Linked DNA regions of Caenorhabditis elegans. The protein of the gene in region 1 interacts with the protein of each later gene in a biochemical or structural test. Each region holds a gene or a part of one and is shown in the gene's direction. Other genes may lie near its edges.

Region 1 (8,552 bases):
GTCCGAGTTTTTCCACCTGCTGATTCTAGTGTTATAGCTTTTATATGACGTTTCATCCATCTGTTTCGACAATACAGTAACCCGTCGAGAATGAATATTCGGTTCTCTATTTAGCTGCAATTGAATCTTGAAAACACAAAAATTTCAAATTGAGCGAATGTGTGGCTGAGAACCAACGTTCACTCCCTTGCTATCGAAACTGCACCTGTTGCGATTTCGTGGCGAGACCCGAGGAAATACTCAATTAATAAATACAACGGTGTCAATCCCACATTGACTGATCTTGCAAATATCTTTCTTCATTGTGTCACTTTTTTTCAGAAATGCAGTTTTTCCATTAGTTTATAGTGCCCAGCGAGTAGTATATCCTCAGAAATGTTGATCCTCATGATTATAAGGTCATTATCGTTTCAAAACATGAATAGTCATAACTTTTCTCTCACAAACTTTTCGAATGTATCCTAGAACTGCTGAATCTCACAGAAACCTAAATTACGAAATCAGGTTCTAATTTTTATCAAAAATTTACAAACCTACGAGAATTCGATTTAACTTGAGAATGAAGAAAGACGCCAACTTCAATTGAAATGCACCGAATTTAGTTCAGGTTACTATCATTTGTATTCTAGATGCAAAGGAATTCACACTTCCAGCTGATATAGCGCTGATCCTAACACGATCCTTTCAACATCTTAGATTTTCGTTTAATGTTTAATCGGAATTTATATTTAAGGCCTGTAGAAATTTCCTAGAAAACGCTATAGAAATATTTAGCTGATTCTCAAGTTTTAGGAACGGGCGTCTTCCTGGTAGAAGATAGTTCGCAGCCCATAAAGACAGCACCCGGCCTAACCGACAATGGCGGTTATGAATTTTTAGACCATTTAAGGTTATGATGGCGAGACCACAACAACCCGTCGCCACGCACGTCACGCTCACAAAACACTCATTCATGCGCTCACGGAACGCTCACACACTCATGACATACACACATCATTTCGCCTCACACACCGCGCCGTCGCCATCCGCACCGCCCGGGTGGGACGTGTTCAAACTTTTCGGTTTTCGTAATTAATAGTGAGCCCCGGTTTATTCGCTTTGAGAATCAGTATAATGGATATATCAGATTGTGTAATTAGGTTGCGTGCTTGAACTTTTAAAATTAACTGTTTTAAATTTATCTGCCTTTATCGTTACAGTAAATCATTTTGATGAACTTTTCGGATGAATCATAATGAAGTACGCAGCGCTCTAACAAAATGTGTTTGTAAATTCCAATTGCTACAAGTTGCCCGGCTTATTTTTTGGTGATTGAAGCATGATTCTGTTGACGCTCCCGACGCGGAATACCAGGACGGACCGATGAGAGAGTACTGCCAGTGAAGAGACGCATGCGAGCAGGACGAGTGCTGCTCACCCTTCTTCTCAGCGTCGGCGGCTGCGACCAGCGGCCGAGGAAGGGGAGGAGAGAGGCCGATTTGGCTGCGTACCACGTTTGATACTCAGTCACTTACCACAGCTGGTTCTCTTGTGCGTTCAAATCTGGCTTGCCGCGCGCGCGCATTTTATTCCTACCAGTTTGAATCTCCCACCTCTCCGACTGTAACTGTCCTAATTTGCTTCCTTCTCATCACTCTCTCTTTGCCTATTTCTCACTATCTAGACTCTATTTTTCCAGAATGGTCACCGCCGACGAGACGGTACTCGCCACAACGACCAACACCACTTCCATGTCTGTGGAACCAACGGATCCGAGAAGCGCTGGTGAATCGTCCTCAGATTCGGAGCCAGACACAATTGAGGTGAGGAAAAGTTTTGGGAATTTAAATCTGAATAAAACGTTTTCAGCAGCTGAAGGCAGAACAGCGCGAAGTGATGGCCGACGCGGCGAATGGTTCCGAAGTCAACGGAAATCAAGAGAACGGAAAAGAGGAAGCGGCATCTGCAGACGTGGAAGTGATCGAGATAGATGACACCGAAGAGTCTACGGATCCCTCACCTGATGGATCTGATGAAAACGGTGATGCTGCATCTACATCGGTTCCAATCGAAGAGGAAGCGCGTAAAAAGGATGAGGGGGCTTCCGAAGTGACTGTGGCATCATCTGAGATTGAACAAGACGATGATGGCGATGTTATGGAAATCACTGAGGAGCCGAACGGAAAGTCGGAGGATACTGCCAACGGAACAGGTGTGTTTTATAATTTTACCAAGTTTAATTTTAACTTTCTATTTTCAGTTACTGAGGAGGTGCTAGATGAAGAGGAGCCAGAACCTTCCGTAAACGGAACAACTGAGATCGCTACAGAGAAAGAGCCAGAAGATTCTTCAATGCCTGTCGAACAGAATGGGAAGGGTGTGAAGCGGCCTGTCGAATGCATCGAACTCGACGACGACGATGATGACGAGATTCAGGAAATTTCTACCCCTGCCCCAGCTAAAAAAGCTAAAATTGATGATGTCAAGGCGACAAGCGTTCCAGAAGAGGACAACAATGAGCAGGCGCAGAAGAGATTGCTCGACAAGCTGGAAGAGTATGTGAAGGAGCAGAAGGATCAACCATCCAGCAAAAGCCGAAAAGTTCTGGACACTCTTCTCGGAGCAATCAATGCGCAAGTTCAAAAGGAGCCTCTGTCGGTTCGGAAGCTGATCCTGGACAAAGTTCTCGTTCTCCCAAACACAATATCATTCCCACCAAGTCAAGTTTGCGACTTATTGATTGAGCACGATCCCGAAATGCCTTTGACGAAGGTTATCAACAGGATGTTTGGAGAAGAAAGACCAAAGTTGAGTGATTCCGAGAAACGAGAGAGAGCTCAGCTGAAACAACATAATCCTGTTCCAAATATGACAAAACTGCTCGTGGACATTGGACAGGATCTCGTTCAAGAAGCTACCTATTGTGATATAGTTCACGCGAAGAATCTTCCAGAGGTGCCAAAAAATCTTGAAACCTATAAGCAAGTCGCTGCGCAGTTGAAACCAGTTTGGGAGACATTGAAACGCAAAAATGAGCCGTACAAGTTGAAAATGCATCGATGCGACGTCTGTGGATTCCAGACGGAATCAAAGCTGGTTATGAGCACTCACAAGGAGAATTTGCACTTCACAGGATCCAAATTCCAGTGCACCATGTGTAAAGAGACGGACACGAGTGAGCAAAGAATGAAGGATCACTACTTGTAAGTTTTTTTTTTTTCATCTTTCAATATTCATTTAATTACAGCGAAACTCATCTTGTTATTGCAAAATCGGAAGAGAAGGAGTCCAAGTATCCATGTGCAATCTGCGAAGAAGACTTCAATTTCAAAGGTGTCCGTGAGCAGCATTACAAGCAGTGCAAGAAGGACTACATTCGCATTCGAAACATCATGATGCCGAAGCAAGACGATCATCTCTATATCAACAGATGGCTCTGGGAGAGGCCCCAATTGGATCCCAGCATTCTTCAACAGCAGCAACAAGCTGCTCTTCAGCAAGCTCAACAAAAGAAGCAACAGCAACTTCTGCATCAACAGCAAGCAGCACAAGCTGCAGCCGCTGCGCAACTCTTACGGAAGCAACAATTACAACAGCAACAACAACAGCAACAGGCTCGTCTTCGTGAGCAACAGCAAGCGGCCCAATTCCGGCAAGTGGCTCAACTGCTGCAACAACAATCAGCGCAGGCTCAACGTGCACAGCAGAATCAAGGAAATGTGAATCATAACACTCTGATTGCAGGTAATAGCTAAACATATTTTAAATAAGTATTTTGTATAATTATTTATATTTCAGCAATGCAAGCGTCGTTGCGTAGAGGTGGTCAACAAGGAAATTCGCTGGCAGTTTCTCAACTTCTCCAAAAGCAAATGGCAGCTTTGAAGTCGCAACAAGGAGCTCAACAACTTCAGGCTGCGGTGAACTCCATGAGAAGCCAGAACAGTCAAAAGACGCCAACACACAGAAGTTCGAAACTTGTTACTACGCCGTCTCATGCTACTGTTGGCTCTTCTTCAGCTCCCACGTTTGTATGCGAAATTTGTGATGCGTCAGTGCAGGAAAAGGAGAAGTATCTACAGCATCTTCAGGTAATTTTAAGAAACGTTTCTATTTCAATTTCAAAACCGATTATTAAATATCTTAAACATCACATTTTCAGACTACTCATAAGCAGATGGTTGGAAAAGTGCTGCAGGACATGTCGCAAGGAGCTCCACTGGCATGTTCTCGATGCCGTGACAGATTCTGGACTTATGAAGGGTTGGAGCGGCACTTGGTGATGTCGCATGGTCTCGTCACTGCTGATCTGCTCCTCAAAGCGCAAAAGAAGGAAGACGGAGGTCGATGCAAGACATGCGGCAAGAACTATGCGTTCAACATGCTTCAACACTTGGTAGCTGATCATCAAGTGAAGTTGTGCTCGGCTGAAATCATGTACTCGTGCGATGTGTGCGCGTTCAAATGCTCGAGTTATCAGACTCTGGAAGCCCATCTCACTTCAAATCACCCAAAAGGAGATAAGAAGACATCAACACCAGCAAAAAAAGATGATTGTATTACTCTGGATGATTAATAGGAAAACGAATGGCTTATCCCGTTCTACGAATGAGTGCTGGAAACATTCTTCACAATGATCTCAATTATTTCTCTTATTCTTTACATTCAATCATTTTAAATCACCAGTTCTCCCACTTTCATTGATATACACATTCTATTGCGGGTTCCGGAACCGAAATCAATCAGTACTTTACTTTATTTCCCCAATTTTTCTCTTCATGATATCTGGTTTATTCTCGCATCTTCCCCTACCTTCAAAACTCCCTATTTTTTTTTCAAAACCTAACTACCCCACAATTATCATGTAAAATCAAATTGCAATTCCCCATAAGACAGATCAGTATACACTTTCACTTCATACGTCTGTTGTTCTCCCCCATCTCATACTTTTTTTACCATTTGTCCAGTTAAGATTTTTGGAAGATATCTATCATATAAATATTATCACCTTTACAAACCATTCTTTTTGAAACTATTTTCAGAAATAAGATTCAGATTTTCTCATAATATTTGGAGGAATCTATTTCAACAGATACGAAAGATATTCAGACAAATGACAGACTCCGTTGAAATCTGTGCTGCTGTCATCACCGGTTTTGAAAAAGTTGCAGCAAAAGAGGTAAATCCTGAAAACTAGATAAAATATCTTACTCGAGTTCCTTCAGATTTCAAAATTATTTTCGCCTAAAAAATGCCATCCAGGACGTGGAAATGTAAGATTTTCAATAGATCTGGAACGTGTAAACGAGACTCTGCAACTTCGATCAATCGATAATCTTTATATGGTTTTTTATGAAGAAACAATTGAAAAGCTGTCTGAAATGCAAAAAGAAGATGCATTGAAAACTATTCAATCGCAAATTTCATTTTGTAACTGGAAATTGGCAATTGAAGCTTATCAATTGGCACGTGGAAACGCGATTAACGGAGGAAGTGAAAAGATTTTGAAACAGATTCAACAATTTAAAAAAGATCGAATATATAGTGAAGTTACGGACGATTCACCCAAGTTTAGGTAATTTTTGAAATCAATATCAAAAATCCTTATTAAAATTTTCAAAAAAAATTAAAAATTCGAAATTTTATTGTGGTTTTAAACTGAAAAAATTTGGTACATCTCACAAAAATTACAATTCAAAATTTTAGTTTTGAAATAAAATTTCAATTATTTTTTTTCCTAATAATTTTTATTTTTCAAAAGTTATGATGACTTTTTTTTCAGAGTAACATGCAAACGATGTGGAGAGAAAGAGATTCACAAATTCAGTTCAATGGATGCTGCTTCGAAGTTTGGAGCTGAAATTAATAATGCTTTTGGTTGGAAATGTAGTGTCAAAGAGTTCGATATAGAAGTAGTATTAAGGATTGATCGGAATAATGTAAGATCGGTGTACCTGCAATTTTACAAAATGAGATAGTGTTCTCCCAATCAATGGTGGAATTTTTCGATTTTTTTCAGTGAAAATCGAAAAACGAAAATTTTTGATTTTTCGATTTTCAAAAACCAAAAAAAAAATTCAGAAAATCAACCATAAAATATGATTTTTTTTAAAATCTAATATATTGATATTTAGATAAGAAAAAACATAAAAATTTTCTAAAAAGAGGAATAATGACCAAAATATTAAGATAATTTTTGAAAATCGAAAAAACGATAAAATACATTTTTTAATTTTTCGATATTTGAAAAATCGAAAAATTTTCGCACCCTTGCTCCCAATATCTCTCATTAAAATTTAGGAATTTGCTTTATCTGAAAATAGCTAGCATTTTAGTTGGAAAAAATTTTCAGATAAATCAAATTTTTTAAATACAGTATTCTATCAAGAACTTTTAATGAAAAAAATTGGGAAAATATTCCACGCTGGCTCATTTTGTAGAATTTCTGGTCAGCTGTTTTCTTTGAATTTCTTCTAATTCATTCATATTTTCAGATGACAGTAATGATGGCTCTGAACGAAGAATCTCTATTCAAACGTAATATCTGTGCGTATGGACCAACTACAATGAGATCTACAATGTGTCATTGCATGCTTCAATTAGCTGATATAAAACCAGGAGATATTATTGTCGATGCAATGTGTGGAGGTGGCTCTATTCCGATTGAAGGGGCAATTTCATGGAAAAATTCATTATTTTTGGGTGGAGATAATCATGAGATGGCAATGAGCAGATGTCTACAGAATTGGGTAAGAAAAAACGAAAATTTGAATTACCGCGGGTTCGTCTCGAAACTCCGCCCATTTCCGTGTTTTTATCATTTTCGGCGTAAATTATTCGTTTCGTCTCGCATTTGGCGTTCGGCAATTTTTTGTCGACAAATTCAGCAAATTGCCGATTTGCCGTTTTCCGAACATCAATTTGCCGAAAGTCTTTAGAGGGATAAAACTGTGCCTTTTTAAAACATTTCCTGTTAAAATTGAAATTCCATAATTTCACAAAAAATGTGCAAAACCATAGTTTCCCAAAATTTTTCGGTAGATTGCCGGTTTGCCGATTTGCCGGAAAAATAGTTGTTTTTTTAAATTAGAAGCAAAACGAAGAATTTGTGTCGAAATTATTTCAAAAATGAGTAGATTAGCCACAATTGAAAATTTGCCATTTTTAAATAATAAATATTTTAAGTCGGCGAATTCATCGAGCTCCCGATCAAACTGCGACTTTCTCACTTGGGATGCTACAAATCTTCCACTACGCGATAATTCAATCGATGCACTTGTCACGGATCTACCGTAATCATTTCAACGATTTTTCCACTTAAAAACATTTATATTTCAGATTTGGCAAGAAGATAGGAAGTACCACAGATAACAGGTTACTGTACCCGAGGCTTCTCGCAGAATGGAAACGAGTTTTAAGGAAAGGTGGACGATTAGTCTTGATGACTCATGATAAACGGAGTTTAGGTATTGTGAAAAAACTTTAAAAACCAGAATAATTATTTAATATTTGTAGAAAACTCATTCCTAAAAGATCGGTCTTCATGGCAAACTGACGCGTCTCATGTTGTCAACGTTGGTGGATTATCATGTCTTTGTATCTGCATGATAAATAGAAAATCTGATTAGATTTCAAATTTTTAACATGCTTGTTTTGTTTATAAAATTCAATGAATAAATCAAAAATTCATTGGCTGGTTTCACATAAAAGGCACAAAATTTAAAAGTGAACATGATCAAATAGAAGACACCGGTTTGAAAAGAGAAATGGCGAAGATGGATGAGAGGAATCACGAAAATCTAAACTCGATGAATGAAGTGCAATGATTTTTTATTGTTATTATTATTGATTTTTTCGATTGTTGGTAGTTGAGCAAAATGAAATAATACCTATAAAAAATTGTTCAAATATATTTTTATTTGATTTAATACTTACTTCACTTGCATTCACTGCTTTCAGTACATCACTGTTACATCGAACTGATTTTGCTTTCGGTGGAATTGGTTGAAAGAATATTGAACTTTGAGTGGGAACGCAAACTGCACGAGTTATTCGATCACATTCGGATTTCTGAAAAAAAAAATGTTTTCATACAAATAATTTTTATCTGAAACTGAGGTAGCTACCTCATGTTGTCAACGTTGGTGGATTATCATCCACCGACTTCCTCTAGAGCCTGAAGCACTAATTTTGAATTCAATCCGTCACTTTCAAATTTATTTAAATTTTTAGGCATTTATTTAAATTTTTAGGCAATTTGGGTCAAACTGTCTAATCTTTCGTAAAAATCAAAAATGAGCGGTGCAAATCTCTTGTCAGTAAATCTACAAATCTGACTTTCAAACTACAGAATTAAGAGACATTTGAGACAAATTTTATTAGAAATTATGTGTCATTTCGTTAGAAAGCATTTAAAAGCCATGAAATACAATTTAAAACAAAATGTTTTTTTTTAAAATTTCTATTGTAGTTTTGCCAATTTCTGAAACGCAGTTTTAAAGGCGCATGGATTTATTCAGATGGGTCTCGCCGCGAGAACAAGTTTCTGATAGCGGGTTACGGTCTCTTTTTTA
Region 2 (7,792 bases), on another chromosome or scaffold:
AGTATCAGCACCACTACAGTACCCCCATATCCCTCCACGAACCTCAATTCAATATCACTTCAAAAGACGAATTGTCAATTTTTCCAACACTACCGTACTCCTGCAGTTTCCATGCAGTCTTTACTACAGTAGCTCTACAGTAATCCTACACTCCTTCTACAGTACTACACACTACAGTATCTCGACCACACCCCTTTATTAACTTCAACCCTATATCACTTCAGAAGACAAAAACTCAGTTTTTCTGAAACTATAATCATCCTACAGTACCCCAATCACATCTCTTTACTAACCCCACCCCAATATTCCTCCAAAAAACTTGAATGCAAAAAAAATTTTGTATTTAAACAAATATTATGACGTGCACGGAAAACTAAAGTAAAGGTATAGCTTTCTTAAGAACATAATAAAATGACAGGAACTTATTGAAAATGAACTATTTTTCAGCAGACTGTGCAATGCATTATAATCCAGATTATTCGTTGTAAATGTTTATCCAATTCGATTTAATATTTATCAATTTTATTTAATTTTGTTCCTTTGCGGTCTATTTTTTTTATTATTTTCGCAATAAATCACAATAAAATATTCTAAAATTCTACCGTACTCCTTTAAAGGCGCATATATATTTTGAAAAAAGTTTACAGACCTACTAGTCTTTAATTTATCCGTGTTTTTTTTTTTAATTTTTGTTTTTAATCGATATTGTTCTTCAGATTCACAAAGTTTGAATATGTTTTTTTCATTAATAAAAGATTTCTCTGAAAATATACATATGAAAACTATCGCACGGGGAGGCAAAGCTAACGTGGCCGCGAGAGCTGCGCCGGCTAGGCCACCGCCTCCTATGGTTAAGAATTTTGATCGAATAAACATTTTTAATTTGACTTATATGCTTATTTTTCTTTGTTTTTTCTTGTTTTTTCTTGTTTTTTCTTGTTACTACGTGGAATAAGCATAATGTTTTCAGCTAATCTACGCAAACCGCTTCGAAATTCGATGGATTAAACCGGACAAAGGCAAAAAACGTCGAAAAGTAAGTTATTATTCAAAATATCTCGAAAAAATATGGTACAATATTTCTGAAAACCTACTCAAATATGGAAAAATATGTGCTGATTCCGAATTTAAAAGTCTTGAATCTCAATCTCGCGTATTTCATATTTAGTTTCTCGATTTTAGTGAAAAATTCGAGAAATTCAGTGCAATTTCGAATTAAAAATTAAATTTTTCCAAAAATTATGGTACAATATTTCTGAAAACCCACTCAAATATAGAAAAATATATGCTGATTCTGAATTAAAAGTCTTGAACCTCAATTTCGCGTATTTCATATTTAGTTTCTCGATTTTAGTGAAAAATTCGAGAAATTCAGTGCAATTTCGAATTAAAATTTAATTTTTCCAAAAATTATGGTACAATATTTCTGAAAACCCACTCAAATATAGAAAAATATATGCTGATTCTGAATTAGTAACATTTGAAACTCAATCTCACGTATTTCATAATTTTTTTTTCGATTTTAATGAAAAATCTAGGAATTCAGTGCAATTTTCGATTTTTTTTTCAAAATATTTTCTCTTAATGTTTTTATAATTTCCAGATATTACGTTGTCGCTGCATTGGAAGATTTCAAGACAAAATTCGAAATAGATGCGAACAAGAAGAAGCTGTTCGAAGTATTAATAAGGAAGGTTAAGCAGCAATAAGTGCTCTTAAGGGCTCAAGTGCCGCAGAAGAAGCCAAAGAAAGTAGGACTGCAAGATCAACTGCTCAATCAGCCACTATTTGAGAAGAAACTACAAGTCAGATCGGTCCGAAGGCAATCAAAAGTTCCAAGCAGAAGAGGTGGAGCTCATGGAAGAGGTTGGAAAGCACAAGTCTGAAGTTCATGAAGCACTCGGCGATTTGGTGGATACAAGATGTGTGATCGAAAATTTCAAAAAAAAATCTGATCAAAATCTTTGAAGCAATTCCACTCAGCAACCAGAATATTGGATTCGTTTCCGAGGATAAGTATGTGGATTTTCTTTAAATTTGAAAATTTAGAAGTTGATTTTCAGGTGCAATGGTGAAGGAGCTTCAACATCGTTCAACGAGGAAGCCGTTTTCATGCCGTACCTGTTCAATTCCGTAAAAAAAAAGTTCGTCTTATTGCAAAGGAGCAAAACTTCGATGGAATTCTTGAGGTGTTACTTATTTTTTAATTTTTAAAAATTAAAAATTTCTAAATTTCCTAGAAATGCGACACGCTTCGTGAGAGGACCCTCGCTGAATTGGGAGCCCGACTCGTGGATCGAAAGTATCAAAACGTTGTGAAACTCTTCGATCGTGCCACGTTGCTCGGTAGCATGATCAAAAGGACGCCGAGAAGAAGTGATAGGATAAGGAGACGACTGCCAAGAAGATCAAGCCATGCTTGTTCTTTCTAATAATGTTCTTTATATTCCGTTCCTGTTCAGATTTTTTATTCCCCCTCCCCATTCGGTTAATGTTCTTCTCTCTCATTTCCTTGTTCAGCATATCTACTTAGTATCCCTCTCTGACGAGTTTTATATTGGTTTTCGAGACAATGAATGTTTTAAACGTTATATTGATGTTATTAAATGTGTTATTCAGTCAATCGGAAGAAAAACTAGATAAAAACAAACTATTCAGCTAAAATTCATCGAAAAAAGAGGAAATTTTCGGTTTTTCTCAGAAAATCAGTGGAAACATAATGAGAAACATAAAATATGCACTTTTTTATTTTTTAAATTACTATTCTGTATCACAAAACATTTTTTTTTCGACTTTTATTCGCTTAAATAATGAGAAAAGCGCTTTTAGCCAGAGCTGATATTAACGAATTGTCGTCAAATAAAATGCGCGTACGCAGAGTACGCAATAGTGTACAAAACTTATTCGCGTTGAATATTCAGTCAGCCAAATGGGACTACTGTAGAAATTTCTTCAGCCACGTTAGCTTTGCCTCCCCGTGTATCCGAAATTCCTCGGGTCTGCAATCCGACGTGACGGTGTTTGCACACAATTGCCGGCGCTTTCGAAAAATAATTTTTATTTATTTATTTTTGTTTTTCATAGATTTTTATGAGTTTCTCAAGGAGTTTCGAATTTTTTCGTGGTTTTCAACTAAAATTTTGTTGAAAAATCATTATTCATCACTTAATAATTTCAATTTTCCTGTAATTATCCAACTTTCCAGATAATGTCCGTGGAACAATTCATCAACGACCAACTACACTCAATCGTGGGTATCAGCGATCGATCAATATGTCAATACGTGCACGCACTAGCAAAAAAGGCGAAAAGCGCGCCGGATTTAGTGGAAAAACTGCGTGACGCCGGAGATTTTCCGATTTCCCCAGCGATCCAGTCATTCGCAGATCAGCTGATGAGTCGAATGCCCCGGCAGGCAACTTCAGCGCGACAACGTGGTCCGACAACAGCAGAGCTTGCCGAGCAGGAGCTAAACCGTCTGAATCGGGCGGTCGGAGTGTTGGAGGATTATTCGGCGAGCTCCACAAAAACCAAAAATGTCAGAAAAAGAAAAGAGAGCAGTAGTGAAGACGATGAAGCTCCGATTAAAGCTAGTAAACCAGGAAAATCTGTGAAACCTTCAAAATCCGACGATTCTGAGTCCGATATAGAGGCGATGGAGGCAAAGCTGGACGCAGATATCGCTGAAAGAGACGCCTTGGCAGCACGAATTAACAAAAAAGAAAAGGATAAAACTCGAAATGTTATGGAGAAAAAGCGAGATGATAACAAGGACAAAGAGGGTTCCTCCATGGACAAACTCCGAGAGGAGTCCAGAAGGCAGTACCTGAAAAAACGAAAAGTCGACAAGCTGGAGGAACTGGAGGCGATAGTTCACGATGATCAAACTCTATTCGCTAGGGAGAAGCTCACGAAACGTGAAAAAGCGGATATGGAGTACCGGAAAAAAGTTCTCGAATACACGAAAGCCCATGGAAAAGCCGGTGACGTCATGAAAATGAAGAGATATCATCTGCCGGACGCCTCAACGAAACAGATCCCTTCACAGTACGTGGAGGATGATGAGGAGGACTTCAGGCCAGGCGGTGATGGTGCAAAGTGGGAAGAGGAGCAGCTGATGGCCTCGATGCTTCACCTGGGAGCCAAGGATGCGAAGCGGAAGGAGCAAGAGTTTGAGCTGTTGCTTGATGAGAAAGTGGACTTTATTCAGGCTCTTCAGATGCCTGGAACCAATGAGGAAGTAGTAGAGACAGAAGCCGAGAAAAAGAAAATGTCAATTGAAGAAACGAGAAAGTCGTTGCCGGTCTACGCATTCCGTGATGCTTTCATCGAAGCTGTTAAAGAGCATCAAGTGCTCATTATCGAGGGAGAAACCGGATCGGGAAAGACGACACAGCTACCACAGTATCTTTATGAAGCTGGATTTTGTGAAGGTGGGAAGCGTATCGGATGTACGCAGCCGAGACGTGTCGCCGCAATGTCGGTTGCCGCTAGAGTTGCTGATGAAGTTGGATGCAAGCTGGGCACTCAGGTTGGGTGGTTTTTGGAAATTGGCGAAAATAAACTAAGTTTCATTCTAGTCGGAAAATTCCAAAATTTAGAAAAAAAAACTGGAAGTTAAAAAAATTTGGGCAATTCTTTGCCGCTTCTAAAAATTTTTAAACTTGTAAAAAAACGAGGAAAACAGATTCCGATTTTTCTTTCGAAACGCTTCCATTTTCCAGGTCGGCTACAGTATTCGTTTCGAGGATTGCACATCGGAGAAGACTGTCCTCAAATACATGACAGACGGAATGCTGCTCAGAGAGTTTCTCAACGAACCCGATTTGGCTAGTTATAGGTAATTTTTAGAACATTTACAAAAACAGCAAAAAAACCAAACATTCAGGATTTTTGTTTTTAATTAAGAAAAAAATCGATCGCTCTTAAATTTTAATCAATACTTCGAATAAACCCAAAAAAAAACGAAAAAAAATCCTGTTTCCAGTGTAATGATGATTGACGAGGCTCACGAACGTACTCTACACACGGATATTCTATTCGGTTTAGTCAAAGATATTGCAAGATTCCGAAAGGATTTGAAGCTTCTCATCTCTTCTGCAACACTTGACGCTGAAAAGTTCTCCAGTTTCTTCGACGACGCTCCGATTTTCCGAATTCCGGGACGCAGATTCCCGGTGGACATTTACTATACACAGGCTCCCGAAGCGGACTACGTCGACGCGGCTATCGTCACAATTATGCAGATTCACTTGACCCAGCCACTTCCCGGCGATATTTTGGTATTTCTGACTGGTCAGGAAGAAATCGAAACTGTACAGGAAGCACTTATGGAACGGTCGAAAGCACTGGGATCGAAGATTAAGGAGCTTATTCCGCTGCCGGTTTATGCGAATTTGCCCAGTGATTTGCAGGCGAAGATTTTCGAGCCAACGCCGAAAGATGCGAGAAAGGTAGATTTTTCTTACAAATTTTTTCCAAAAAAAAATCCGAGAAAAATCTACAAAATTTCAGGCAAAAACTGTTTCATTTTATTCCTAACTAGTTTTTTAGCAAACGTTTAGATTTAACAAAACTGAACAAATTTGAAGTTTTCCAATTTAAAAAATAAATGTTTCGGAAAGTTTATTGAAAAATCTGAAATTGCTATCCTCTCGTATCTGCAAAAAAAACACTTTAAAAAATGCTCTGTTCTTTGAAAATTTCTAAACTGAAAAATTTGAAATTTCTGAAAATTGTGATAATTTTATAAAATTTTATAGAAAATGTAAGCATTCCAGAAAAATATCAAAAATTTCGAGAAAATTCTGAAAAAATCCAGAAATATTAACAGAAAAAAAATCTTTTGAAACATCTGAAAATTAAAATAAATTGAATTTACATTTTTTTTTTTGGGATTTCCTTAAAATCACTATGAATTTACCACTAAATTTTTTGCAAAAAATTATTTTTTTAATTTCAAAGAAAAAGCAAAGAATTTTAAAATATCAAAAAGTCCAAATTTGGTTCGGTGAATTTTTAAAATAACATTTTCAAGATAATTTTAAGTTAATCAAAACATTCCACGCATTTCTAGTTTCCCAAATTTCTCTAAATTTCAGGTGGTCCTAGCAACTAACATTGCTGAAACTTCAGTCACAATTGATGGTATCAACTATGTAATTGATCCAGGATTCTCGAAACAAAACTCATTTGATGCACGAAGTGGTGTTGAACATTTGCATGTTGTCACTATTTCCAAGGTAATTTTCTTTTTTTTTCTCTTAAACTTGAAAAAAATTACTTTAAAAAATTAAGCTCTGAATTAATGTTCAGATAAATAGGAAAACTTCCAGAAAAATCTATAAGATTGAAAAAATAAATCAACTAAAAGATTCCAGAATAATCTGTAATTTTATTGAAAAATGGAAAAATTCCATAAAAATCTGAATATTTAAAATATCATCAAAAACTTTTTTTTTATTTCTTGGAAAAAATCTGAATTTTTTCTGAACAATCTAACAGATCAAAAAAATTCTGAAAGGTTTCAAAAAGTCTGTAATTTTATAGAAAAATGTAAAAATTCCAGAAAAATATGAAAATTTCGAGAAAAGTCTGGAAAAAATCCAGAAAAATCTAAATATTAATAGAAACATCTAAAAAGTCATCAAAAAACTTTTTTAAATTTTTTGGAAAATCTGAAAATTAAAATATCTCAAATATTAAAGAGGAATCTGAAAAAATTTTAAAGATTTTAGAAAATGTAAATTTCAGGCTGCCGCAAATCAACGAGCCGGTCGTGCCGGTCGTACTGGACCCGGAAAATGCTTCAGACTCTACACAGCGTGGGCCTATAAGCATGAGCTCGAAGAGCAACCGATCCCCGAAATCCAGCGAACAAATTTGGGAAATGTGGTGCTAATGCTCAAGTCACTAGGCATCCATGATCTCGTTCATTTCGATTTTTTGGATCCTCCACCACAGGAGACGCTTGTCATTGCACTCGAACAACTCTATGCTCTCGGAGCACTGAATCATCGTGGAGAGCTGACAAAGTTGGGACGACGAATGGCTGAATTTCCGTGTGATCCGTGTATGAGTAAAATGATTATCGCCAGTGAGAAGTATGAGTGTTCCGAGGAAATTGTAACGATTGCGGCAATGCTTTCGTGTAATGCAGCTGTGTTTTATAGGTTTGTTCTGGAAGATTTATGAAAATAATTTTTTTTTTTTGCTGAACCGAAATTTTGCATAAAAGTGAAGTTTTTTTAAAAAGTTGGAAAAAGCTTTTGGAAAAATGGCAAAATTGAAGAATTTATATAGAACAACTGGAAAAATAATTGAAAATTGAAGAAAATATTGTGAAAACCATTTTCCAAATTTCAAAAAATGCAATAAAAAATTTGGAAAACGAAGAAAATTTTCTCGAAAAATCCCATGAAAATAGATAGAATAATTTTAAAAACTAGAAAAAAATTTGAAATCATGAAAAAAAAAATTTCTGATTCCTCCATTTTCTACAAATAAATTTGTTTTTTTTTCAGTATTGAAAAATAAATTTTTCCCCATTTAACTATACTTTTTAAAACAAAATCCTCAATTCCCTTCATTTTCCAGACCGAAAGCCCAAGTAATTCACGCGGATTCGGCACGTAAAGGCTTTTGGAGTCCCGCCGGAGACCATATCACCCTAATGAATGTCTACAATAAATGGCAAGAGTCGAGCTTCTCGCAACGTTGGTGTGTGGAGAATTATGTGCAACATCGAACAATGAAAAGAGCGCGAGATGTTCGAGATCAGTTGGTTGGACTT
Region 3 (7,567 bases), on another chromosome or scaffold:
GGATGTAATGTATGTAATCGGTTAATGAGGTGTAACATGGCAATACCTTTGCTCGTTTCAGTGCTACTGCTACTATTGACCTTTCTTTAAGAAACAGCTGCATTTCTTGGTGGGATTATTTCCAAAATTTTTAAAGTCGTTTGATATGATCTTCTTCCTGCCGTCTTAATCTTCTCCTCCTTACGCTTGCGCTCCTCACTTATTCATTCAACCATCCAACGACCCATTCACTCATTCATTCAGTCAGTTCTCGGTGGGAGGCCTTTCCCTCTGAACACAGAGAGACACAGAGTGAGCGCTCGCGGTGGTTTTCGGAAAGGAAGATGATTGTTTGTGTGTCAGATAGATATGTGTGTGCGTATGGCTGTTGACTCTTTCTCCTCCTTCCTACCTTCCTGTAGTTGAATAAGTGCTATTTCAGAGTTCATCTCTAACAAATTTCAATACTAAATCTAACTTTGCTACCATCAATTTGATATATGTATACGCGACAATTAAGTGGTTTTACGGATTTGCCACTCAAGACACACAGATGTCTTCTTCTCAGAGCAGACGTTCCTAGATTCTAGATTCTATGAGAAATTTGCTCGCACTTTGTCCATTTTGCTCATCTTCTTTTCCTTTTTTTTCTACTTCTTTTTCTTTTTTCTGCTACTTCTGGAATTCACTTACTGAATCATTCACTACTCTTTCCTCCTCTTTTTGCCAGCGTAATGTAGTGGCTCCTGATTGACTTCCTCTTTTTTCTTTTTTCGCCTCAAAAACCGCGAAACCATTTCCGTTGGTTGCATAAGCCGGCGAACACTCGTCTCCGGAATTCAATGGTTTACTGGATCCCAAGGGGCACTTGTCGCTTTTCTATCTCTTATCCTCTATTCCCTCTATTCATTTTTACAATTTTAACCTTTTTTAAATCCAATCCATTCTCACTTTCCTCCCTGACACATATCACAGAGTTCTCGCTTAATCATCAGCAAGACACATGTGGGAGATCAAGAAGCAATCCACAGATATTAGATGTAAAAAATAACACGAAACTAATCAAAGCTGAACGTGTGTGTGTGTGTGTGTAAAAGACACGGCAATTAATATCGTGGCGAGACCTTCTCTCTTTCTTTTACCGCTCCCGGGGTCCTCCTCAATTCATCCGCTCCTCGAGACGAAGACGTCGACACAATCGGTGTTTATTTTTGCGACGTAGGGCAATTTTACTCGCAAACATATGAGAGGGGAGGCGCCGACGACACCCGGGCGGGCGGCCTGACGAGAGGTTTAGATAGCGGGGGAAATAGAGAAGTTGGAATGAAGCGGCTGCTATTGCTGCCACCGCACGGCAAGAAGCGGACACAATTCAACCCGAAGATATTTTTTATGTGCACCTAGATGAACTCTTTTTGCAAAACCTCTCAATTAGTAGACCTTTGAAACTCAACAACGTTTGGACGAACCTAACTTGACACCGCCGCCTTTTTCTCTAATCTTATCTGATGAAACAGAACATCTGATGTTATCACAATCAATCAAATCTTATTCATCTCTACGAATTCGTAAATGTTTTCACTTACATATAAATTGGAAGAAAAACGGATTATCGTTCCAGAGATCAAAAAATGATGTGCCTCCCCTTTTTTGCAATTAATCCTCAACTCGTATTTCTCTTTGTATGTCTTGAAAATTGAAATTTAGACAGTTTAGTTGTTATCACGTCAGTTTTGTGTATTCCACTTGAACTATCTATCTGGTTGGTTAGTCTCCTCCCACCCATGAGTCTTTCATTTATGTTTGTCTAGCCTGACAATTGACCTGACCACCAACCATCAGGTCTCTCCCACGTTTTGTATTTTTATTATGCACATTACGAACTGTGTGAAAATGGCTGTCGTATCATAATAAATTTTGGAAAAAGAAAACATCTGAAATGTTGCCAGTTCTTTGATTCTCAAAATGTTCAAATGATATTCATAAGACTCTCATCTTGTTTGCCATATTGTCATTAGCAGGTCATCCTCTTCTATTCAATTCTGGCTAATCCCCCGTTCCCCCTTTCTCTTATAATTCATCGTTCCTCACTGTTTGGTTGAATGAAAGAGCACAACAACACTTGTAATGAGTTATTTCATATTTTGAAAAAGTTGCCACGTCATGGAAAGCCAAGACACAGTGGCGGTCTGCTTTGAGGTCGTCACTGTCACCGTCGAACTGTTTTTGATCGCAAACATACATCGGTTGTCTCGTCTCTCGGGTTGTCTCTCTCTACCTCTCTCTCTCTCTTTTCCTTCGGTGACTACCTCTCCTCCCTTCCCGCCACACCGTCCTCCCCCTTCCACCGACTATTCCACCTTTTTGTGGTATGTACTAGCACTATTCTCTGCGTCTGTTTTACAGTTCTCATTCTCTCACACACACTTATTTTTCCCCAATTCTTATGGTAGTTGAATGTGAGTACAGTGTCCACTAGGATCTAGACTTCAGGACTCATTCTGAAAGTTGAGCCGAGGTCACGTGTGAAAACTGAGCTCTTTTCCTACACCTTGCCCCTTCTTGACAATTGTCGTTCTTCCTCTTTCTTATCATCACTTGACTTTTTTGAGCGACATGCTGGACAAGACAAGTCGTTTAATGGATGATGTTGCGATTTACTATCATCTGTTAGTATGCGCTAAGTAGGTGCGAACGTATGACGAGTTACAGTAATTTATTAAGCTTGAAGGTTTTTGAAGGATTTTATGAAGTTTGATCAAGTTCTTGAGTTAAGTAAACATTTTCTCTTGTGATCTTAATTGATTGTGAAAATAGTGAACAATTCAAGTTCTTGAAAAGATTTGATTTGTGTAAGTTAGAAAATGTGTGTTACCAATTACTGTTGTATTTGACTTCTAATGGATCTTCCGAGTCAATCAGATTCCTTGGCGCTCGGTGGTCCTGCTCCTGCTGCTAAATACACCAAAATATTTGATGAATGCGGTGCGACGGCGATGCCGCCAATGTCTCTTTTCCTAACGGACCAGTCGTGTATGTGCTCTGTGTATGTGCCCCACTAACCGACGACGACGACCCTCGCCCGCCCCACGCCACTCCCACACCCCACCCCGTCTTCATCCCTTTCCTCTCTCCCGTCTTCCTTTCTTCTATCCCTCGGTGCTGTTCTAGTTTGTGTTTTTACTAGGCTCTAGAGGGTTCCGGAGGGAAAGAAAAAAGAACTTCTGTGCTTTTCATCACCATCTTCCTCTCTCATCTCATCTTTTCATTTTTTATCCAGCTGATTTTCGTGTGTTCTCAATGATTCAAATTAAGACCAATTCTTTAGGATAGTTCATCATTTTTGGGGGAGCAAACTGGAAAAACTAAAAAAGGCAACAAGACAAAGATGAGCCGCTTTGACAGCCAGTGCAGTAGTGAAGACGTCAACAAAGAGGACGAATGTGTGCCGTCGTCATCTGAGGATAGCCAAGGTAATGAAATTGTAACTGAACCGTCTCTGTGTCTTCTTGTATGTCATGTCAACCTAGATACGGGTATTCCCAGTGGGGGCCGTTCTTTTAGAAAGATGGCCCCATCTTCACCAGCGTAAAATGTTATGATTCTCGCTGCGGATTAGCGCTTAGCGGATTAGTCGAACAAATGTACGAACACATAAGAAGACACATGCGGCAATTCTTTTTTGTAACTTTTGATTGTGTGATCTAGATTCTAAAGACCGCCTACTTGAAATAATTTAAAATATAAATTATCAAATTTCAGACGGCGTTTCTTCCCCAATGGAAAACGATGACGAACCAGAATTTTCCCAAAAGCATTACGATATTGAACCATGTTATTATAGTCTTACAGGCAAATCGGATAGGAATTGCCGTGGAATAGTAAGTCATTTTTTAATTCAAAAATCTGAAATTTGAGTAATTTCCTGTACTCTTTAATAGTTATAATCTGAATAGACATCTTATGTATGCGTATCTTCTTCCCCTTCAATATCTCAACACTCGAAAAACCAATTAATTGTCGTTCTGTCGAGTTTTTGGAAGAGACACAGACATTTAGGCAGTTTAGTGTGTAGGGGAGGTCAAAAGGAAGAGGAGACGCTGGTCATAATTCAAATTCTCTCCCGATTAGACGAACATCGCTACAAATAGACAAAAACCTGGATTTCAATCTTTTTTCACCCGTTTTTTCTGCGAAACGTTTTGATGGCTAAACCTCAAACATTGCGCTTACACACACACACATTGCGAGCTTCAAATCGAGAAGAACCAGATAGTCAAACACTGAGAAGATCGCGAGCCGAAAAAAAAACCGAAGTGACCTCTCTTCTCGTTTCGTCAAAAATTGAAAATTGAACTTTGACTAGATTAGTTGTCAGTCGGCAGCATACTTCCTCGAATTGTGCGCATGTTTTCCAAAAAAAAGCGAAGCGAGGCAAAAACAGCTGCCCAATTTTTGATCTGAAATTCGAGACAATTGCTTTTTTCTGGCTGGCAAGGAAAGCAAAGTCAACAGAAGTTTTCGGAGACCCCAGAGAGATGCTTCTTCCCTCAAGAGAGTACAAACAAAAGAGACGCTTGAGAGTTAAAAAGATAGATACTATGCGACAATAGACACACAAACACAAAAAAACATTTTTTGCCGCATTATATGATTTGTTTGTTTGTTTTGAAATGTGCGCTCATAATATTTCATTCTCTCACAGTTTAGTGTTAGTTGGCATTGACCTAGTGTGAGACGAGGTGCCAATTGACAACTGAAGCTAATGAGAGGAGAGACGCAGACGACAAGTACAAGTGAACACTAGTTCATTTCACCTCAAAGATACAGAGAAACCGGAAAGATAAATAAGACAGACTAGTTTCTAATATAATATCGTTAGTTGAAAGTTTGAAACATACAAATCTACTGATTTACTAAACATATTTTTTCAGGTATACCGGTATCGACAAGACAGTGATCTAAAAGGGTTTCAATCACATGATGGCACATTGTACAGGCTACGAGATTCAGTATTCGTAGAAGTGTCACAAAACGAGCCGTATGTGATAGCGGCAATATGCGGATTTAAATATGTGAGTAATGAGATCGTGAGGCATGTCAGCAGATGGTTCTGCCATATTAAGGTTTTTGAAATAATTGTTTCTTGGAAACTTGTTCCTCAAAAATCAGAACCACAATAGATCAAATCGTTCCACAGTGTTACAATGAAATATTTATATAATGGGCAACACTCAGTGAATGTAGCGATAAGATAACAAATTCGGCATTTAAAAATTAATGTTGCGAGAAACCGGGTGATGTTTGACAATTTCGAAATAAATTGATAGAAAAGGGGGTTTAAGGACAAATTGAACTTTTTGGAAAATGAAAAATGAGGTTTTCTTTTTGAAACTAGAGATTCTTTGATACTTTATAATCTCTGCTGACCTCTTCTCAAATTCCAAACAACTATCAATTTACTTGTTCTCTATATCTCTTCATTCCCTTGTTCCTTGAACTACTGGTTTAGAGGAGGAGAGAACCGCACTTGTGTAAATATTGACACAGTTTTAGTGGGTTCATGTATTCCCTTCATGTTTTCCTTTCGACTGATAGCACTGAATACTTTTTTAAACATAAAAGTATAAGGAAGATGTCATTGAGTCATTTGCCCACTTGTTCGTCCTTCAGAACCCACTAAAAACCGTGTCATAATCGGATTGCGCGGGAAGTCGTTGAGAATTAGAGAATGCATTGAAAGTGAAAAAACATAAACTTTTTAATTCAAACACTTTTATAGTATCATCACAAAAACATACATTTTAGTATACACAATAAAAGTAGAAAGTTTGCTCACTTTTATGAGCTGTGAGAAGAACATAATGTTCCTCTTTGTTGTTGACAAAGCACATTCACGTGACCAACTGATGAGCTTATTTTAGAATTTAAATAGGAAATTGGGATAACTAGTTTTTAAAGCCAAAATTCTAAGAGCAACAAAATTACAATATTTTCTAGTTTTGACAACGCAGGGATAATTTTTCTTCTGGATTTTCAAAGCCGAAAACTGAGTTTATCAAAAAAGGTAAATTCCTTTGACAGGGCTACACATAGTATTCAAAAAATGATAAGAGATTATATATTTTTCAAAACAAAATAAAGAATACCAATTTTCAGACAAAACGAGATCACGTGGTAGTGAAACTTACGAGGTACTTCAGAGCAGACGATATACCTGAGATATCTTTAAATTTAATGAAACAAGAACGAGCTGAGCTTGAAATCAATCCACATTTATGTCCAGTTAGTTTAATTTTTAAGATTTTCAGAATTACTCACATTTATTTTTCAGCAATCATTAAATCGAGAATTATTTAATTCGGAATTACAAATTACACAACCAGTTTCATGTTTAAGGTGAGTTCTTTTTTAAATTTAAAATACTAAAAAAATTGAAATTAAAATAACTTTAAAATAATTGAAACACTGGAAAAATTCTTTGCCCCTTGACATGATTCGTTTTCAAAGTTAAAATATTAGAATTTTGAAAATGAGTTCTCAAGTGCCTCAGAATTTTCCAGGTTTAGGTGGTAGGCGTCAGAACTACCTGCCTACTTTATCTTGGCAATTCTCATTAATACTTATTATTTGCAACAATTATCACGTGGTTTCAGCCATTAATTATTTTTCCGTTCGTTGAGATCTATCAGTTTTGGCTACTCAATCATCTTTCACTTTCCTTCCGATCTCTTTTGTCCTCTGTGTGTGTATGTGCACATTTCCCCTGGGACCGAATTAATTGATGTGACGAAGAGAGCGCGGACGGGGTGGGAGTGTTGTACGTGTTGGAAAATGGTGGAAATAGCGGCCGAAACATCAATTATTCCACTTGTTTATCGTCCTCGTTTCACCATCAACCTTCTCATTTCATTTCCTCGTTGTTTTAATAACTTGTAAAAACAAGACGACCCCGTTTTTTGAGCTTTTCCGCTAATTTCTCCGCCTGCGTTCTCTGCACTCTCTCGAGCTGTTGCAAGCTCAATTTAATAAAAAGGCACCCGCTGCTCGGCCACCCGATTGGAAGAGAAGGATGTCGGAAACGACCACAACACAACAAATCACATTTTTATTGCAAACTTTGTGTTCTCTTCCTCCCTCTTTTAACTCTTTCTTCTCGTTTACATATGCGCAACATTTCTTTTTGTAACCAAGACGCCGTGGCTCTTGTCGTCTGAGCTCTACTCATTTTCCAATCAGCTTGTTCGTTTTTGGATGTATTAAGCTTTTCCAGCTTATCCAGATAATCTTTTGATACCTTTGAATTACCACACTGATTTATTTTTCTCTTTGACGTTGTTTCTACACTACACTCGTGTTTCTCAACACACTGGTTAAGCATCTCGTATTTCAATGTTCCAAGTGTGCCACCGCCATCTGCGTCCGGTCGTCGACTTCTTTTTCTTGGCCTCCCCGTCATATGACGCGGCAAACCGGAGAGAGTGTATTTCCGTCTCATCCCTCTTTTCCTCTTCGCCATCACCATTTCCTTAGGTTTTTTGCCTCGTTTTCGCGATGTCTACGTCTATTTTTTGAAACGAATCCCTTT
Region 4 (7,740 bases), on another chromosome or scaffold:
GATGGATTACGGGAATACAAAACCTATACTTTTTCTGAAACATGATACATATGATGCTTAGATGCTGAAATTACCTGATTTTCATAACGAGACCGCTGAAAAAGTTTTGAGGTTTTCAAAATTCAACTTTTTGTGCGAAAATCTCGACTTTTTCACCAAAAAAGTTGAATTTTGGAAACCTCAAAACTTTTTCAGCGGTCTCGTTATGAAAATCAGGTAGTCTCAGCATTTAAGCAGCATATGTATCATGTTTCAGAAAAATTTAAGGATTTGTATTCCCGTAATCCATCATATTACAATGCCCACTTTCACCGCTGCTTGCCCACTGAATACATGATTTTTTTTACTTGGAAATTGTTTTAGCATCTGCAAAAATATTTATTTATCAGTTTTATTAAGAAAAAACGAAAAAAAAATCGATGAAAAACGAAAGAAAACAGGCGGAAAACAAAGCAAGATAAATGGCCGCTGAAACTTGTCGGCCCCTCGGCCATGGCCTAGAAACCACTTTTCCTCGTCCCTCGTGAGGAAAAAGTTGCAGTGAACACGTGCAAAATGACAACAAGATGGAAGAAAAATTAAATTGAAAATCGTATTCATTTTGAAACAAAAAAGTCTATTCTGGGTTCAAAAAGAAATCGAAACGAAAAAATTTCGCAACAAGAATCATAGTTTGTTCTCTTCGCCTTGAAATACACTCTCACATACAGGTGACGCAGAGGTAAACTGTGATCGGAAGGAATGATGGTAACCTGACTATATTGTGTGTCTGTGTCTCTTCTCTTTTTTTTTTTGTCTGCCTGTATATATTTACACAGCGCCAATAGACCCAGATCGAGGAGAGAAATCGTTGTTTTGAGAAGGTTTTTTAACATTCGAAAATATTAGGAATCGCTGTGAAAACTGAGGAATTTTCCTGCAAAATAGGAGTATTTTATTTGAGAAATTGATTTGCGGAAGATCTCTAAAAGTTACATAAAATTGAAAGTTTTGTGGGGAAATTGTTTTAAAACACGCCTATGGTAATACGAGAACATAAAATTCTGAGAATGCGTATTACACAACATATTCGACGCGCAAAATATAACTATATCTCGTAGCGAAAACTACAGTAATCCTTAAATGACTACTGTAGCGATTGTGTCGATTTACGGGCTCGATTCTCGGAAAAAAAAATCATTTTTCAAATTTTGACAGCGATATTCAATTTTTCTTCGTTTTTTCGTATTTCTCAGTCATTTTTGTGCTTATTTTTAATATTTTATTCATTAATAAATTAATTTAATTGAAAAACGTCCAGACGTATTTTTACATTTCCCGTCTATTTCCGTAATAGGCGGTTAATAACGTAGAAATACGTCTGTATGAGTTTACTCATCAAAATGACACGAATATTGGACGTTTTTAAATCAAATTAATTTATTAATAGGTAAAATATTAAAAAATAAACACAAAAATGACAAAGGAATAGGAAAACACGAAGAGAAATTGAGTATCGCTGTCAAAATTCGAAAAACGTGGATTTTTCCAAGAATCGAGCCCGTAAATCGACACATTCGCTACAGTAGTCATTTAAGGATTATTGTAGTTTTCGCTACGAGATACTTTGCGCGCCAAATATGTTGTGAAATACGCATTCTCAGAATTTTATGTTCCCGTAATACCACAATGACCGAATATCATAATAAAAAAATTCAAAAACAATTTCTAGATTTTATATGATTTTTTGAAAATTGAAAAAATCTCAGTTTTCACCTAATTATATTTGAATTACCGCCAATTGAACTCGTTCGTTGGAGCGCGCTTGCATTATTTTCATTAATTAATTTTATTAATTTTCATTATTTCACTGATTTTCTTCATTTTTGAGGTTTTTTTTATCGGGAAATGAAAGAAATATACAAGAAAAATGCAAAATGTTTATTAAAAACTGAAATTAGTATTTCTCGGAGTTTTAGGCATTTTCAGTTACTTTTTAATAAAGATTTTGCATTTTTCTTGTATATTTCTTTCATTTTCCGATTAAAAAACCCCAAAAATGAAGAAAATCAGTGAAATAATGAAAATTAATTCAAATAACTAATGAAAATAATGCAAGCGCGCTCCAACCAACGAGTTCAATTGGCGGTAATTCAAATATAATTAGGTGAAAACTGAGATTTTTTCAATTTTCAAAAAATCATATAACATCTAGACAATTTTTTTGAATTTTTTTATCATGATATTCGGTCATTGTGTCCCCATAGGCATGTTTTAAAGCAATTTCCACCTTTAAATAAAATCGAGAAAAAATGGCGTCAAAAGACATATGTAAAAGCTGTTTCTCTTTGTATATTCACACAGAATATAGCCCGATTTTGGAGGTGAAAAACCGGTTTTTTTGTATTCTTTACGCCACATAAAGTGATATGGAAGAGAAAATCGACATATTTATGTACTTGGAGTACGAGTACATTGGAGAAAAAGGGTGAACTACTGGAAAATCTGGGAAATTTCAGAAAAAAATTCCGAAAAATCTTTTTTGCTGAAAAAAAAATTTGTTCGAAATTTGGGAAATACTGGAAAATTTTCATCAAAATTAAAGCGATTTTTAACGTTTTTGCTTGGGAGATACTATTTGTAATTTTAATGTTTGGTGAGGACAACAGAAATGACCTTCAGCGTACGGAAAACGATTAAAAGACACATTTGAATCGAAAATAGCGTGAAAAACATGAAAATATCGGAAAAATAGCTTTAAAATTGGATTTGAAAGCAAAAAATGTATCAAAAATCGAGAAAAATGCTTGAAAAAGTTGAAAAACTCAAACAAAAAATCAAAAAAGGTTTTTTTAAAAATCTGTGAGTATCGCAACGAAAGCACAACTTGAGGCATGCGCCTTTAAACCAACCGTAACCAAATTCGGAGGCAAAAAAAGATTTCTCGCTGTTTTTTCAGTTTTAAAATCACTTTTCACGTTTCTTTTCGCAGTAATTCGTTTGCAAAACATCTGAAAAAATTTTATTTTATAAGAAATTATATAAAAATCGCTATAAATTGAGTTTTTGCCCCCAAATTCAGCACGGAGCACTTCTCAATTAAATATAATTTTATTTTTTAACATTGAAAGCTTTCATAAAATTGAGCTTTGTTTGTAAATAATCAGTGAAAAAACACAGAAATCTTCAAAAAATAAAGAAAAAGTTTTTAAAAATCTGTGAGTCCCGCAACGAAAATAAAACTTTAGGCATGCGCCTTTAAACCAACCGTAACCAAATTCGGCGGCAAAAATGGATTTCTCGCCGTTTTTTCAGTTTTACAATCACTTTTTAGGTTTCTTTTTGCAGTATTTCGTTTCCCAAACAATTAAAAATCAAATTTTCTTTTCCAGATGGCTCAAACAAAGCCGATTGCCGAGCAAATGGCTGCACTCAACAACTCAGATGACACGTCGTTCGCTGCCGATCGATCGAACAGTCTTCTGAATGCGACGTGCCCGGCGAGAATTCAAAATTCAGTAGATCAACGGAAAATCAATCGATCATTCAATGATTCGCTGTCGTCCGGATATAGTGGAAAATGGCTTCGTCCAAAGCGTGAAGCGCTCAAGATCACTCCATTGGCTCAGATTGACGAGGCGCCGGCAACTAAAAGACATAGCTCGGCGAAGGATAAGGTTTTGATTTAAAAAAAAAACTGAAAAATATGCAAAATCGATTTTTTTTCCAGCACACAGAATACAAAACGCGACTTTGTGATGCGTTCCGCCGTGAAGGATACTGCCCGTACAACGACAATTGCACATATGCTCACGGACAAGATGAGCTGAGAGTTCCGGTGTGTCTGAAGCCTGGAAATCTTTGGAAAATTTTTTTTTCAGAGACGCCGCCAAGAGTATTATTCCCGAGATCCACCACGTGAGCGCCGTGATTCTCGTTCTAGACGAGACGACGTGGATACAACAATCAATCGATCGAGTTCTTCAGCATCGAAGCATCATGATGAGGTGCTGATCGGATGGAAATTCGCTTTTTTGACAAATTTTCGCAGTTTTTTCGCTAAATTTCATTTAAAATATGCTTATTAACACATTATATCACTATTTAGACGAATATCTTGTAGAAATGTTGGGTTTTGTTCGAATTTTCTCTACTTTTTGAGTTGCTTCACGAAGAAATTGTGTTCTCTTTCATTGTACAGAAGAATCTATGTTTTACAAGGGAAAAAAGTAAGATGGTGCAACATTTTCTCGTGAATCGACTCTAAAAGTAGAGAATTATCGAACAAAACCAACATTTCTACAAGATATTCGCCTAAGTACTGATATTATGTGATAATAAATGAAATTTAGCGAGAAAATACTGCGAAAACGCCTTTTCAGACCCAAAACCGCCTAAATTTCTCGAATTTTCAGGGCTAAATCATTTTAAAACTCCAATTTCGCTCAATTTTCCGTGTCGAGACGGTCCGAAGTTGATTTTCTGGAATTATCATCCTTGTTTTGCATCTTTTAGTAGTTTATCTCAAATTTTTCCCGCCTGCAGACAGATTATGTGAGATAAACTACCAAAATGTGCATTAAATTATGATAATTCCAAAAAAAGTCAACTTTCGGCCGATGCGGCACGAAAAATTGCCAAAATTCGAGGTTTTTAGCTAAAATTATCAAAACTTTGGACAAAAATCATCCATTGCGCAGCGAATTTTTGGGGTTATACGTTCAAAATGTTTATTTTAAAATGAAATTTAACGAGAAAATATAATATACTGCGAAAACGGCTTCTCAGACCAAAAATCGCCCAAAACTCGAATTTTCAGGGCTAAATTGGCTAAAAGTCTTCATTTTTGGCAAGTTCTCCGTGTGGCGACGGAAAAAAAGCCAATTTCTGGCAAAATTGAAGATTTTCAGCTAAAATTAACCCTGTTTTTCAAAATTTTGAACAAAAATCGTCAATTTCAGCGAATTTTTGAGGTTTTACGTTGCAAAAATCCTTATTTTTAAGTGAAATTTAGGGAAAATATTACAATATTTTACTTCCAGAATCGGAGACCCAGCAACAACCACGGAAGCTCGAATCGTCGTCAGATTTGTCACAATTTCGAGAGAGGAAACTGCAGATATGGTCCAAGGTTCTAGGAAATCTGGAATTTTTATTAAAAATAAATAAAATAAATTTTCCTTTCAGATGCCGCTTCATTCACGTCGAACAAATGCAACATTTCAATGCGAATGCGACGGTTTACGCGCCACCTTCTTCCGATTGTCCGCCGCCGATTGCCTACTACCATCATCATCCACAACATCAGCAACAATTCCTGCCATTTCCAATGCCATATTTCTTGGCTCCACCGCCGCAAGCTCAACAAGGAGCTCCTTTTCCAGTGCAATATATTCCACAGCAACATGATTTGATGAATAGCCAGCCAATGTATGCACCAATGGCACCGACATACTACTATCAACCAATTAATTCGAATGGCATGCCCATGATGGATGTGACTATTGATCCGAATGCCACGGGCGGTGCGTTTGAAGTGTTCCCCGATGGATTCTTCTCTCAGCCACCACCAACTATTATTTCCTAATTTTGCCGTATTTTCCATATTTTGTTTTGTATATTTATCCACTCACCCCCTCTCTTTGTCCTGTGAATGAACTTGTGCCAAAAAAGCCAAAAATAATTTACTTTTTTTAAAGACATATTAAAACTTGAAAACTTGGAACAATACGGTGCGAAAGCGAAACAGAGACAGAAAAATGAACAAAGAGATCCGTGAAAAGTGAACGATGATTTAGGCTTCTTGTTGGGCGGCGTGGATGAGAGTGATGTTGTCTCCTTTGAGAAGAATTCTGCCGATCTTGTTGCGTCCCTTCGTCTTCATGTTCACCTCCTCGGCTTCGTCGAACACGACATTCATGAACTCGTCGAATCCGATGATGTAGCCCTCGAGACGGTGGGTGACATCCTCGTACAACCAGATTTGGACCCGAGTGCGGTTTTGGAGATATCTGAAATTTGGGAAATTGTTTTCTACTGATTAGTGAAAAAATATTACCTGAAGATGAGGTTCACAGGCTGAACCATCACTTTGTTGAGCTTTCTCGTCGACATTTTTGCGGGATGATCTGTAAAAATCAATATATTTTTTGAAAGACACAAATTTTTAAGATAAATATCAAGAAAACTCGATTTTAGCAGCTATTTAAGCTCAAAAACTACAATTTATGGCTTTAAAACATAATTTTTCACATTTTACATAAATTTCAACGAAAAAAAATGCCAAAAAACTTCAAATTTGAGCAGAAATCGGCTATTTTCTCGACAAAAATAATTTCGAAAATTCGTTCAAAAAAGATGAGTACGCAAGCACCGTGACGCACAGTTGCGGACTTTGTAAACCGTACCCCTGCATAAAAAGGCGGAATTTTGAATTTAATAAAATGCAGTTTAGAACAAAGAAAAGCACGGAGAGAATTGTGATAACTAATTATTTGTATTTAATTTTAAATACTACATAAAACTGAAGATTGGAACGAGTTAAAGCTGGTATTTGCGGTTTATAGCCCCAAAAGTTAAGGCTTGTTAGGCAATTATCGATAAAAACAACGAGAAATTCGTGAAATCGGCAAAAATTTATAGAAAACGTTTGAATTAAATTAAATTTACGCTTTTGCCGCCAACACCTATCGAGACCCTAGTTATAGGGGCGGAGCGTCATGGGAGCGCGCTTGCAACTCGATTTCAAAAAGTTTCGCTGTTTGTACAACATTCTCAGTTGTTCTTAATCAGTTAAATAAGTTTCAAAATTTTCAAAATCATAAAACACAGTTAATGCTAAATTAAAGTCTAAAAAATCAGGTGATAAGGGGTTTGGACGACCAAAAAGCGACCTTCGCTCGAAAATTGATAAACTAACTACACTTTTTCCGGAAAAATGATGGAAAAATCCTGATTTTCTTCGTTGAATCAATTTTTGTTTCATTTTTAACACTTTCACATGAAATATTTCAGTTAAAATGCTCAAGCTAATTGGGTTTCTTATAATTTTGGGTCTCGCAACGGCCGACAAGTGCTCAGATTGTTTGGCTCAGGGGAAACAGTGAGTTGGAAGCTTACAATTCTGAGAATTCGTATTGCGCAGCTTATTTGACGCGCAAAATATGAAATATCACGTAGCGAAAACTACAGTAATTCTTTAAATAAGACTACTGTAGTGCCTATGTCGATTTACTGCCTCAACTTTCTTAATCAAGCTCGTAAATCGACACCAGCTCTACAGTAGTCATAGTTTTCGCTACGAGATATTTTGCGCGTCAAATATGGTGTGCAATACGCATTTTCAGAATTTTATGTTCTCGTAATATACCTTTTTTCAGCTGGTGTGTTACTGTAAATGCATGTGGATTTACGCCATGTGTCACTACAATTACAGTGAGTTTTTTTGAAGAAAAAAAAATTACCCATTTGATCGCCAATTCCATTTTTCAAAAATCAATAAAAAAAAAAAATTTCGGCGATCAGAAACGTTACAGAAAGCCCTAAACTGCCCGGAACTACCAGATAAAGCCCACGCTTACGATGATTCATTTATGAGGAATAAGGTATTGATCACACATTCTGCTGCCTACAATATGGACCCACAAAAGTGTTTTACGTAGGTTCACCTTCTAGATAAACCTTAAAAATCGATACTTTCAGTAGTAAAATGCCTTCGATGAAAGTTTCCAAAACAGTTAATGTCAATTGTGATAGATATGG

What was found.
Region 2: the proteins of mep-1 (region 1) and mog-4 form a complex in vitro, tested with the Caenorhabditis elegans proteins (one study listed by BioGRID).
Region 3: the proteins of mep-1 (region 1) and egl-27 form a complex in vitro, tested with the Caenorhabditis elegans proteins (one study listed by BioGRID).
Region 4: the proteins of mep-1 (region 1) and pie-1 form a complex in vitro, tested with the Caenorhabditis elegans proteins (one study listed by BioGRID).

The regions. Positions count from the first base shown.
Region 1 is NC_003282.8:11,522,964-11,531,515, forward strand, and holds mep-1 (MOG interacting and ectopic P-granules protein 1), read left to right. Parts: upstream 1-1,678; 5' UTR 1,679-1,679; coding exon 1,680-1,802; intron 1,803-1,848; coding exon 1,849-2,191; intron 2,192-2,239; coding exon 2,240-3,182; intron 3,183-3,226; coding exon 3,227-3,723; intron 3,724-3,777; coding exon 3,778-4,070; intron 4,071-4,141; coding exon 4,142-4,555; 3' UTR 4,556-4,991; downstream 4,992-8,552. Other genes in the region: thum-3 (THUMP domain-containing protein), read left to right, coding at 5,093-5,158, 5,205-5,554, 5,762-5,918, 6,474-6,728, 7,165-7,271, 7,318-7,445, 7,495-7,607; M04B2.7 (uncharacterized protein), read right to left, coding at 7,779-7,868, 7,915-8,049. UniProt on the Caenorhabditis elegans protein: Has a broad role in development, specifically in the genetic pathway SynMuvB that negatively regulates specification of the vulval cell fate. Required for fem-3 3'-UTR-mediated repression in the regulation of the sperm/oocyte switch.
Region 2 is NC_003280.10:14,557,013-14,564,804, reverse strand, and holds the start of mog-4 (putative pre-mRNA-splicing factor ATP-dependent RNA helicase mog-4), read left to right. Parts: upstream 1-3,205; 5' UTR 3,206-3,208; coding exon 3,209-4,531; intron 4,532-4,724; coding exon 4,725-4,840; intron 4,841-4,987; coding exon 4,988-5,453; intron 5,454-5,649; exon of another isoform or gene 5,650-5,819; intron 5,820-6,101; coding exon 6,102-6,242; intron 6,243-6,753; coding exon 6,754-7,172; intron 7,173-7,596; coding exon 7,597-7,792. UniProt on the Caenorhabditis elegans protein: ATP-binding RNA helicase involved in pre-mRNA splicing. Operates during embryogenesis.
Region 3 is NC_003280.10:6,831,714-6,839,280, forward strand, and holds the start of egl-27 (Egg-laying defective protein 27), read left to right. Parts: upstream 1-3,307; 5' UTR 3,308-3,367; coding exon 3,368-3,452; intron 3,453-3,741; coding exon 3,742-3,860; intron 3,861-3,873; exon of another isoform or gene 3,874-3,980; intron 3,981-4,913; coding exon 4,914-5,054; intron 5,055-6,138; coding exon 6,139-6,264; intron 6,265-6,313; coding exon 6,314-6,378; intron 6,379-7,567. UniProt on the Caenorhabditis elegans protein: Transcription factor which promotes stress survival and delays aging. Required for cell cycle progression and development of the mesodermal and endodermal embryonic lineages.
Region 4 is NC_003281.10:12,423,522-12,431,261, forward strand, and holds pie-1 (Pharynx and intestine in excess protein 1), read left to right. Parts: upstream 1-3,371; coding exon 3,372-3,656; intron 3,657-3,709; coding exon 3,710-3,817; intron 3,818-3,860; coding exon 3,861-3,986; intron 3,987-5,021; coding exon 5,022-5,110; intron 5,111-5,166; coding exon 5,167-5,566; 3' UTR 5,567-5,674; downstream 5,675-7,740. Other genes in the region: snr-6 (putative small nuclear ribonucleoprotein E), read right to left, coding at 5,774-5,990, 6,038-6,093; Y49E10.16 (Fungal lipase-type domain-containing protein), read left to right, coding at 6,999-7,081, 7,359-7,413, 7,515-7,636, 7,681-7,740. UniProt on the Caenorhabditis elegans protein: Maternally provided pie-1 is required for germline cell fate determination. Functions as a repressor of RNA polymerase II-dependent gene expression in the developing germline. Required for expression of nos-2 in P4 germline blastomere cells.